Linked DNA regions of Arabidopsis thaliana. The protein of the gene in region 2 interacts with the protein of the main gene of each other region in a pairwise test. Each region holds a gene or a part of one and is shown on either strand. Other genes may lie near its edges. The genes, in order: AT3G17410 and GSTU22.

The links.
Region 1: the proteins of GSTU22 (region 2) and AT3G17410 interact in a two-hybrid assay, tested with the Arabidopsis thaliana proteins (one large-scale study listed by BioGRID).

What each region holds. Positions count from the first base shown.
Region 1 is NC_003074.8:5,954,034-5,960,004, reverse strand, and holds AT3G17410 (Protein kinase superfamily protein), read right to left. Parts: upstream 4,144-5,971; 5' UTR 3,958-4,143; intron 3,862-3,957; exon of another isoform or gene 3,427-3,861; 5' UTR 3,405-3,426; coding exon 3,320-3,404; intron 3,246-3,319; coding exon 2,995-3,245; intron 2,852-2,994; coding exon 2,725-2,851; intron 2,627-2,724; coding exon 2,353-2,626; intron 2,121-2,352; coding exon 1,988-2,120; intron 1,602-1,987; coding exon 1,515-1,601; intron 1,261-1,514; coding exon 1,123-1,260; 3' UTR 791-1,122; downstream 1-790. Other genes in the region: GPK1 (glyoxysomal protein kinase 1), read left to right, coding at 1-48, 140-355, 448-543; AT3G17400 (F-box family protein), read right to left, coding at 4,561-5,118.
Region 2 is NC_003070.9:29,472,143-29,475,818, forward strand, and holds GSTU22 (glutathione S-transferase TAU 22), read right to left. Parts: upstream 1,862-3,676; 5' UTR 1,656-1,861; coding exon 1,341-1,655; intron 1,246-1,340; coding exon 904-1,245; 3' UTR 703-903; downstream 1-702. UniProt on the Arabidopsis thaliana protein: May be involved in the conjugation of reduced glutathione to a wide number of exogenous and endogenous hydrophobic electrophiles and have a detoxification role against certain herbicides.

The DNA.
Region 1 (5,971 bases), on a different chromosome or scaffold from region 2:
GCTATTACTGGAAGGTATCCAGTGGATTATGCGCGGCCTAAAGAAGAGGTATACAAAACATTCATCTTTTCTCTAGATTGTAGAATACTCTGAAAGCAGAGGTTGATCTTGATTCTTGAAATTTGAAATGTGTTTTTAGGTGCATATGGTGGAGTGGTTAAAGCTAATGGTTCAACAGAAACAGTTTGAGGAAGTGGTGGATAAAGAGCTTGAGATCAAACCAACAACAAGCGAACTTAAACGAGCACTTTTGACAGCTTTAAGATGCGTTGATCCTGATGCAGACAAGAGGCCAAAGATGAGTCAAGTGGCTCGAATGCTTGAATCTGATGAATACCCTGTGATGCCTAGAGAGGTAGTCATAATGACAAACAATGCAGAAATAAACTGATTTTCTTCTGTGGAAACTAGAATGTTCATAATTGGTTTGATGAATGTTTTGATCAGGAACGAAGAAGAAGGAGAAATCAGAACGCAGAGACGCATAGAGAAAGCACAGACACGAATAAAGATAATGATATAACAACAGATGCAAAGATTTGAGCAAGAAACAGAAACATGGACCCTCCTTTATGACTTAAGGGTTAAAAACAAGGAAAACTTTTAGATTCTTTGGAGATTGTTTAGATTCTTTACTGTGTCTATAAGTTAATTATGTGATATATATAGATACAGAGAAGAACAAGACTTGTTTCTTTTGTCTGGAGAAGGAGAGATTTGTTGCACATTTTATTACCTTCATACAGAGTCAGTTACAGACATATTTTACAAGATAAATTTTATTTGGATCCTTAAAGATTTTTTCCCAATAATTCCTTTAGTGATTAAGATGCATTCAAGATCGAAAAGAGTTGAGCTTGTACAGACAGACGCACAAACAGAGTATTGGTATATCTTTACCTCGCATATCGTAGCATTAGTAGAGACTTGCATCACATTCACATGCATGAAATAATATAGAAATACAGTAACATTCAGGTCTTTCCAAGTAAGATTTTCAGTGAAGTGGCAGGGGGTTTATGAGAGAATAAACGCCTATTTCACAAATTTACACAAATCGGATTCAAACAAAAACAAATGAAATAGTGATGATCATAAAGGGTGATATCAGACTAGAGCATATCAATACGGGTTCCTGTGTGGAGTCTGGGGAGCAGAACGAGGAGGATTGAGCAACGGCTGAAGAGCCTTCACCACTATGCTCATGTTAGGCCTGAAGTCTGCCTCATATTGCACACACAGTGCAGCTACCGCAGCCAGCTGATCACAATGAGTCATAAGAGAAAACCAAAATCAGACTCGAGGTTTTGGGTTGCAAATCTAGGCATATCATAGGGAACAACACATCAAGAGGGAATCAAATCAAATTCATTTTTGTTTTTTCAACCAGGCAGACAAGTTTTAGCTGTTGTAGTTGATTGCGGGGTGCAACGGATGGAGAAGTAGTCAAATCCTAAGGTAAACCTTTTCTACTGCAACAGTGAGAAGTATGACAAAGTTTTGGGGGAAATTACCTTAGCAACAGCTTTGGGAGGATATTCTCCGTTTAGTCTTGCGTCAACACACTGCTTCACCTTGTCTTCACTCAATTTAGGGGTTGCCTGAGACAAACAAAAGCGTTATCATTGACTACTGGTTTTTGTCTATAGGGAAAGTTCAGAGTCTCTAATATCTCACAAGTAAGCAGAGTTTGCTTCAGAAAGGCTTCACGTACAGAAACCCACCTTTATCCAGGAAAATTTCTTTCTTAAAAAAACAATTGGCACTTGGTTTTTCTTATTTAATAAATTCTAGTTTAAGAAATTTCTTTCTAGAAAAGAATTGACTACACCAAATCAATGATTTCTATAGATGCAAAGAGGTGTTGCGAAGTTGCTAGAGGATTTTTTTGGTCATTCTCCTAATTGACTGAATAAATCATGTATTTTCTAAGATTTTCTTATAAATATGAGTCAACCAGAAGAAGAAGCAGAGACCGATGTATTACCCATGTCACGACACTCTGCTGTCCACGTGGTAAGGTATGATCAACTGGTTTACGACCTGTGAGGAGCTCCAGCAGAACAACGCCAAAACTATAGACATCACTCTTTGTGCTCAACGTCCCCGTCATTGCATACCTAAATTGCAGAACCAAATATGTTTAAGAATCTAGTTTGGTCAATGGGAAGAAATGCAAGACATACAGAAGTGTAAATGTATGAAAATATGATTATCAAAGCTTAGTCCAAGTGAAGGACTTAGTGCATCAGAACATTAGATAATGATAACAAAAGATTCTCAGCACGACTTGAGTGTAAACAAATCAAAATATCACTGTTCCAGATAAATGATATCTCTAAAGGAGCTTACTCTGGAGCGTGATAGCCAAAGGTTCCGAGCACACGGGTTGAGTGAAGGCGAGCAGCCATGTCAGGGGCTTGGTTGGACAAATCAAAATCAGCAATCTTGGCAACATCATCATCGAACAGAAGTACATTGCTGGATTTGATGTCTCTGTGGATAACATGAGGGTTTGCCTTCTCATGCAAGTACTCGAGTCCTCTAGCCGCACCAACAGCAATTTTGACTCTCTGGTGCCACGACAGAACAGGACCTGGCTGTGCCCCTTTAACACCTTTTCGACCTGCACCAGTGAATTCACCACAGTTCATTAGTTTCTCCTCTGAAGATCTTGGAAAAATGGTATTGATCTTCCTTCGATGTTTTACATTAGTAACTTACCATGAAGAATATCATGAAGAGATCCATTAGGAGCATATTCATAAGCAAGAACACGGAGTGGGCCATCAACACAATAGCCCAGAAGCGCAACAACATTTTCTTGTCGCAATCTCGAAACCATTGATACCTGTTAAAGTTGGTCATGTCAGTAACAAAGCCAAATACGACAAAACAACCACAACAGAGTGACTTCGTGCAGAACTATCAGAGCATAGGAAGTATAAGGTCTAGGCCCAACAAGACTGCAATAATATACTCTATAGCATCTACCTGGGCGAGAAATTCTTGATCTGGTTGCTTACTAGAATCCAGTTTCTTAATGGCAGCTGCTTTACCACTTTTAAGAATACCATAAAAGACTCTTCCATATGAACCCTCACCAATCAAGGACTTTGAACCATAGTTATCCGTTATATCCCTCAATTCATCAGCTGGAATGGCCGCAACAGAGATAGGCTGCATCTGAATGACTGGAAGGTTTTTGGGTGGATCTGCCCTTTGATGGTGACCTCCATTGTAACCTTAAGAACAATTAATAAAGTTCATTAACTTAGCCACCAAAAGAGAAATACTGATATGGGGTAAACTAAGCTACCTCCAGTGTTATGCACTGGCTTTGGTCCAGTTTCAGAAACTCTACGGAAATCCTCACCACCACCACAACAACCAAAGCAGCCCATTACGCTTCTCTCTCACACGAAACTGTATCAGTATATTCATAACGCAAAAACGTCAGTAATGGTGTTGCAGAACAAGACTTTATAACATACGAAAATTTAGAAGTAACTAATTTCTTCCCCAAATGAAATAGAGCAAACTGTACAAACTTATAGAGAAATGCTCGACGAAAGTTTCTAATTATAGGGTTTAAGCAGAACAAAAAAGGAAACAGATTTTTTTTCACAAAAAACAAATTTTTGTATCAGAAGAGTAAAATCCTTCATCTACATGATGATGAAGTTTCATTACGAGAGCATAATTCGATAAAAATCGAGACACTAAGAAATGATACATTTGGTGACCTAGACTTATCACAAGTCAACGATCGTAACCCCTAAAATGGATTTCAAACTGAAATAACTATCAATAAACTCCGAAAAATCCGTTAACACAATCTAATCGGCATGAAATCGAACCCTAGAAACAAATTTTACAGATAAATACGGGGAAAGACCCAAAAAAGAGAAATTTAAGCGAGTTGGTAAGAAGAAGAAGAAGAAGATAGCGAATTACCTCTTCCAAAAGGATAATTAGAGAATCTCAAAAAGAGGAAAAGAAGATTCGAATTCTCCGATGATAAAAGAAGCAGAAGAAGGAGAAGGTTTCTATCTATCTTGGTTCGTGTAGGGTTGGTGAAGAAACGCAGACTTTTCTTCCCGGCGGAAATTTACAGTAAATGATATATAGGGTGCGCTTAGGCGCATGTTAGCAATTTGTCTACTCTTTATAGTACGCCTTTATCAATCAACTTGAAGTTATTTTACTTGGTCGTGTTTTGAGGTCAAAGGTCTTAATCCACTTATTAATTAGCCATTTGATTGGTTGTATATAAAATTTTTTGAATTTCCCGTAACAAAATATATGTACTAATACATAGGTAACTATTTCAATAAGAAAAATGTGTTCGATAAAAATTTTCAGATAAGTCCATATTTTGTAGTGGGTAAAAGTATCCTTCTTTGTGCATTTGGTATTTTTAAGCATGTAATAAGAAAAACCAAAATAGACGGCTGGTATTTAATAAAAGGAGACTAATGTATGTATAGTATATGATTTGTGTGGAATATAATAAAGTTGTAAAATATAGATGTGAAGCGAGTATCTATCTTTTGACTTTCAAAGGTGATCGATCGTGTTCTTTGTGATAGTTTTGGTCGTCGGTCTACAAGTCAACAACCACCTTGAAGTTTTCGCGTCTCGGTTTCCTCTTCGCATCTGGTATCCAATAGCATACATATACCAGTGCGGAAAATGGCGAAGACTAGTGGGCTTGAACCATAAGGTTTGGCCCCAATACGGATTCCAAACAACAAGCCTAGCGCAGTCTTTTGGGATGCATAAGACTAAACTGTCGCAGTGATAGACGTAAGATATATCGACTTGATTGGAATCGTCTAAGCTAATAAGTTTACCTTGACCGTTTATAGTTGCGTCAACGTCCTTATGGAGATTGATGCCCATCAAATAAACCTGAAAATCCATCACCATGACCACCATAAACTCCCTTGCTGCCGCTGCTTTGGCTTGAGCAAGGTGTTTCCTTGTAAAGCTCCGATCTTTGGATAAAGTGTTCCACTTTTTGCAAGTAGCTCTGACCCCTCTCAGAGATGTCACCGGAATCTTAGACAGAACCTCCTCTGCCAAATCACTTGGAAGATCGGACAATGTCATCATTTTTGCAGGTAATTTCTCCTTCGTTGCTGCTTTGGCTTGAGCACGGTGCTTCTTTGTAAAGCTCCGATCTTTGGATAAGAGCGGATCGGAATCCTCTAGGAGGTGCCAGTCCCTTGACCTATTAATTTATAGAAGGTTTTAGTGTATTTTGTTCCAATTTCTTCTCTAACTTAACAAATAACAACTGCCTCATAGTCATGGGCTTCAAATTTTATCGCTTGGTGTATTTCGTTATTTGCAAGGCCTTGGCCCATTTTGAGCCCAATAACTAAATCTAGCCTTTTCAGACCGGACATGAACTTCGCATATTGGCGTAACTGTGCAGTTTTACCTTTTTCGGATCAGACAAGATCAGATTTAGACCACCCAACAATAGTCAGTCATATTTGACAACCTAAGCTAGCCGACACTACTAAAAAGCAAACAAAAGAAGAATTCTATGTTGTCATTTTACCGGTGGCAAGTGGACCCTTCTATAAAAGAGTAAAGAGACAGCCTGTGTGTGTATAATCTCTAATTATGTTCACCGACACAATCACACAAACCCTTCTCTAATCACACAACTTCTTCATGATTTACGACATTAATTATCATTAACTCTTTAAATTCACTTTACATGCTCAAAAATATCTAATTTGCAGCATTAATTTGAGTACCGATAACTATTATTATAATCGTCGTGATTCGCAATCTTCTTCATTAGATGCTGTCAAGTTGTACTCGCACGCGGTGGTCCAGTGAAGCAAATCCAACGGTTTAAAACCTTCTTACATTTCTAGATCTAATCTGAACCGTCAGATATCTAGATCTCATTGTCTGAACACAGTTAGATGAAACTGGGAATGAATCTGGA
Region 2 (3,676 bases):
CTTGTTCAGGAGATATGGATCAACGGAAGCATTCGGTGACAGACACGGTGGTGGAGGAGATTGGATTGGATTCTCATATTCAGCCCAACAAAAAGCCCATTCACCTACCCATTAAGAAACAGGTCAATTTCTATCCCTTCTTAAATTTTTAATAGCTTTTAAAATATATATTTTTGATTTTTATTTTTATTTTTTTGGTTACTAAATTTACATAATGGTATGAAATCTAACCGGATTTTGGATCCAGCATTAGTCGTTAGCGATTCCAAATATTCAACTTGTTTTTTCTACTATTATGTAGATTTAGCATTCAAGTTTTTAATTAGGATTTTCAAAAATAGTTTTTAAAACTTTGATTATTTTCCTTTTCGGATTTTTAAAAGCTTTTTCTTATGTTTTTTTTTTGAATACTAAATTTACATAATGGTATGAAATCTAACCGGATTTTGGATCCAGCATTAGTCGTTAGCGATTCCAAACATTCAACTTGTTTTTCCTATTATTATGTAGGTACCATCCATTCCACTGTAGTTGAATTCAGTTCAAGAGCCCAAGGACTCGGATTCAAGTTTTTTATTCCGATTTTTAAAAATAGTTTTTAAAATTTTGATTTTGTTTCTTTTTTGGATTTCTTTAAAAAATTTCTTTTTCTTATGTTTGTTTTTTAAATTTTTTAATTGATTGGATATGAAATTAACTAAATTTTGGATCTAGCATTAGTCGTTAGCGATTAAAAACATTTAGCTTGTGAACAAATATTCTTGAGTGACAAGAAACAAATATTATTTGGTGAAAATAGAAAGAAAGGTACAACAAAATCATATAGAAATCAGTGAACATAGAAACGTAACGTGAGATGAAATTCTAAGACTTTTTTTTTCGTTCAAAGAATCAATAAGACTTTTAGACACAGTATATCTTCCTAATCTTATAGGCAAACGCAAGGATTTTCTCAGAATCATGAAGGGACTGAACCACGCTTTCTCTCTGCAAACACCTCTTAGCCGAAGCCATCAGTGTGGGACACTCTGGTTCGATGCTGAAGTTAGCTAGTTTCTCTGATGCTTCGAACCAGCTGTAATATCCAGTCATGGCAATGTCTACGAACCCGAAGGTATCTCCACCAAAGTAAGGTTTGTCTCCAAGCTCAGTTTCAAGAATCTTGAGTGCTTCTATATACTCTTTCTTGGCTGTCTCTTGTTCCTCTCCTTTCGTTTGCCAAATCTTATCCGCTGGCTCAAACAGCTGCACCATTTCACAGATCAAGCCCAAAAATATTTTCAATTATCAGTCTACAAAAAAAAAAAAAAAAACCTAAACAGAGATTTTGGATTGGGTACCTTGGTGTCCACGAAATCAACCCAAAATCTGGCTTGAGCTCTCTGGTAAGGATCAGAAGGAAGGATTGGGTTTTTGTCGGACCAAACCTCGTCGATGTACTGAACAACGTTCATGGATTCACAAACCGGTTTACCATTGTGGATGAGAACCGGAATCTTCTTGTGAACCGGATTCATCTGGAGAAGCAAAGGGCTCTTGTCTCTCAGATTCTCTTCTCTGTACTCAAACTCAACTCCTTTCTCTCTCAGCGCGATTCTCGCTCTTACTCCGAATGGACTCGGCCAAAAATCCAAAAGTATCACTTCATCCGCCATTATTGTGAAAAGGAACTCTTCTTTGATGGATTTTGCTTAAACCTTTTCTATACTCCAATCGCTGATTCTTTATAGAGTAAACTAGTCGAGTTATATAAGAAATTTGTATGCGATGCTGATGTCTTATTACTATTGACTGTGAACATAAAAAATGAAAAATTAATTGAATCTTGGAAGCTAAGATACCGTAGCAAGCAAGGTGTGAATGTTAAACAAGTCAACTCAATGTTATTCAATTCGATATGTTTTTTTAAATGGAGTTTTAAGAGATGCTTAGGCCACTGCTTACGTCATTATGCTTATCTGTTCTTGTTTTTATGTTAAAAGAAAATACATGAAACCCAAAACATAAAATTTTCTATATATTCTTTTGTTTCCACATCACACACACACATACTATGGTACTATTTTACTAGTACACTACAAACTTGATCACCAACAAAACTTTTTTTTGTTTCTCTTCACATGAAAAAGTAAAAGCAAAGTAAATGGATTACTTTTAAATCTATGAATCGTATTCTTTAGTGACAAGAAACAACATCCGTTACTGAGCCCAGTCTAACATTTGTCATTAAAACAGCCCGTTGGCGTAGTTAAACAGTTCTCCATTTTCCAAGTTTGCGTTTTTAAATGGGTGGAAGAGAGAAGGAGAAACAATGTCGTCAACGATGGAAGGGCAAAAGAGTCATTGTGAAATTAAAGTCGGTTCCAATTATTATTTTCCCATTTTTCTTAAGTAGTTTATTAAGTTTAATTAGAAAAAATGTTATTTAATACTTCAATTTACAAAAAATGGCCAAAGTAACCGTGAACTCGAGAAATGGCCGTTTTAACTCTCAACAAAAAGTTGACTTCTGTTTTAAACTTTCAAGTTTGCGTTGACTCGGTCTAATTAACCACCGTTAAAACTCCTTCTAACAGCGTAATTGACAGCCGTTTTAATCCGTTAAGCATCTGTTATTATAGTCTTACGACCTCGTTTTCGTGCTAAAGAGAAATCAAAATCGAGAATAGAAATTCTCAAAACAAAATCAATTACCCTAAACCCAAATCGAAACCTAATCCTGCCCCCAAAATCAAAATCGAAACCCTAATTGCTTCAATTCGTTTTCTGAAATGCCATTAGTTAGAAAGAATGGCGTCGTTATGAGGATTGGATCTCCAATGCTTCACGAATCAGAGAATTTGGTGGGAGATGGAGTTGAAGCACCACCGCGAGGAGAAAGAGATGAAATTGGAGAAGAAGTTGGGGGTGAAACGAATGTGGTATCTGAGTCTTGTGGCGGAGAAGACGGAGCACAAGATGCAGCTAAACCAACGCCGGAAAGAGAAGCAGATCGAATTGGAGAAAAAGCTCGAGGTCAAGCGAATGTAGTATCAAATGTTGATGTGGCAAATGTGGCCGAAGTTCGTTCTCCACTTAGGCGAAGTAAACGAAGGCAAATCAGATTGGAAGAAGAAGCTCACGATGCAGTTGAACCAATGCCGGAAGGAGAAGCAAATCAAATTGGAGAAGAAGCTCGAGGTCAGTCCGTTGATGTGGCAGATGCAACCGCAGTTTGTTCTCCACTTAGGCGAAGTAAACGAAGGCAAAATAGATTGGAAGAGGAAGCTGATGTTGCAGTTGAAGAATCAACTCGTCGTGAAATTGGACAAGAGGAAGAGGAAGCTTTAGGTGAAACGTCTTGTGGCGGAGAAGAGGAAGCTCACGATGAAGCTCAAGAATCAGGCGTTGATGTGACAGATGCAGTCGAAGTTCGTGCTCCACTTAGACGAAGTAAACGAAGGAGAATCAGAGATGAAGAAGAGGAGGATTTAGAGGCTGAAGTTCCTGCTCTTGATGAAGACGATGACTGTGCAGTCCAAGGAGATGAAGACTGCGATGAGGTTGATGATGCAGTAGATACTAATAGAGAAGAAGATGATACTGCTGGATTAGGTGTCGAAGAAGATGGTAACTTAGACATGGAAAGAGATTTTCCAGAGGCTAATGGAGAAGAAGAAGCTAGTGACAATGACAG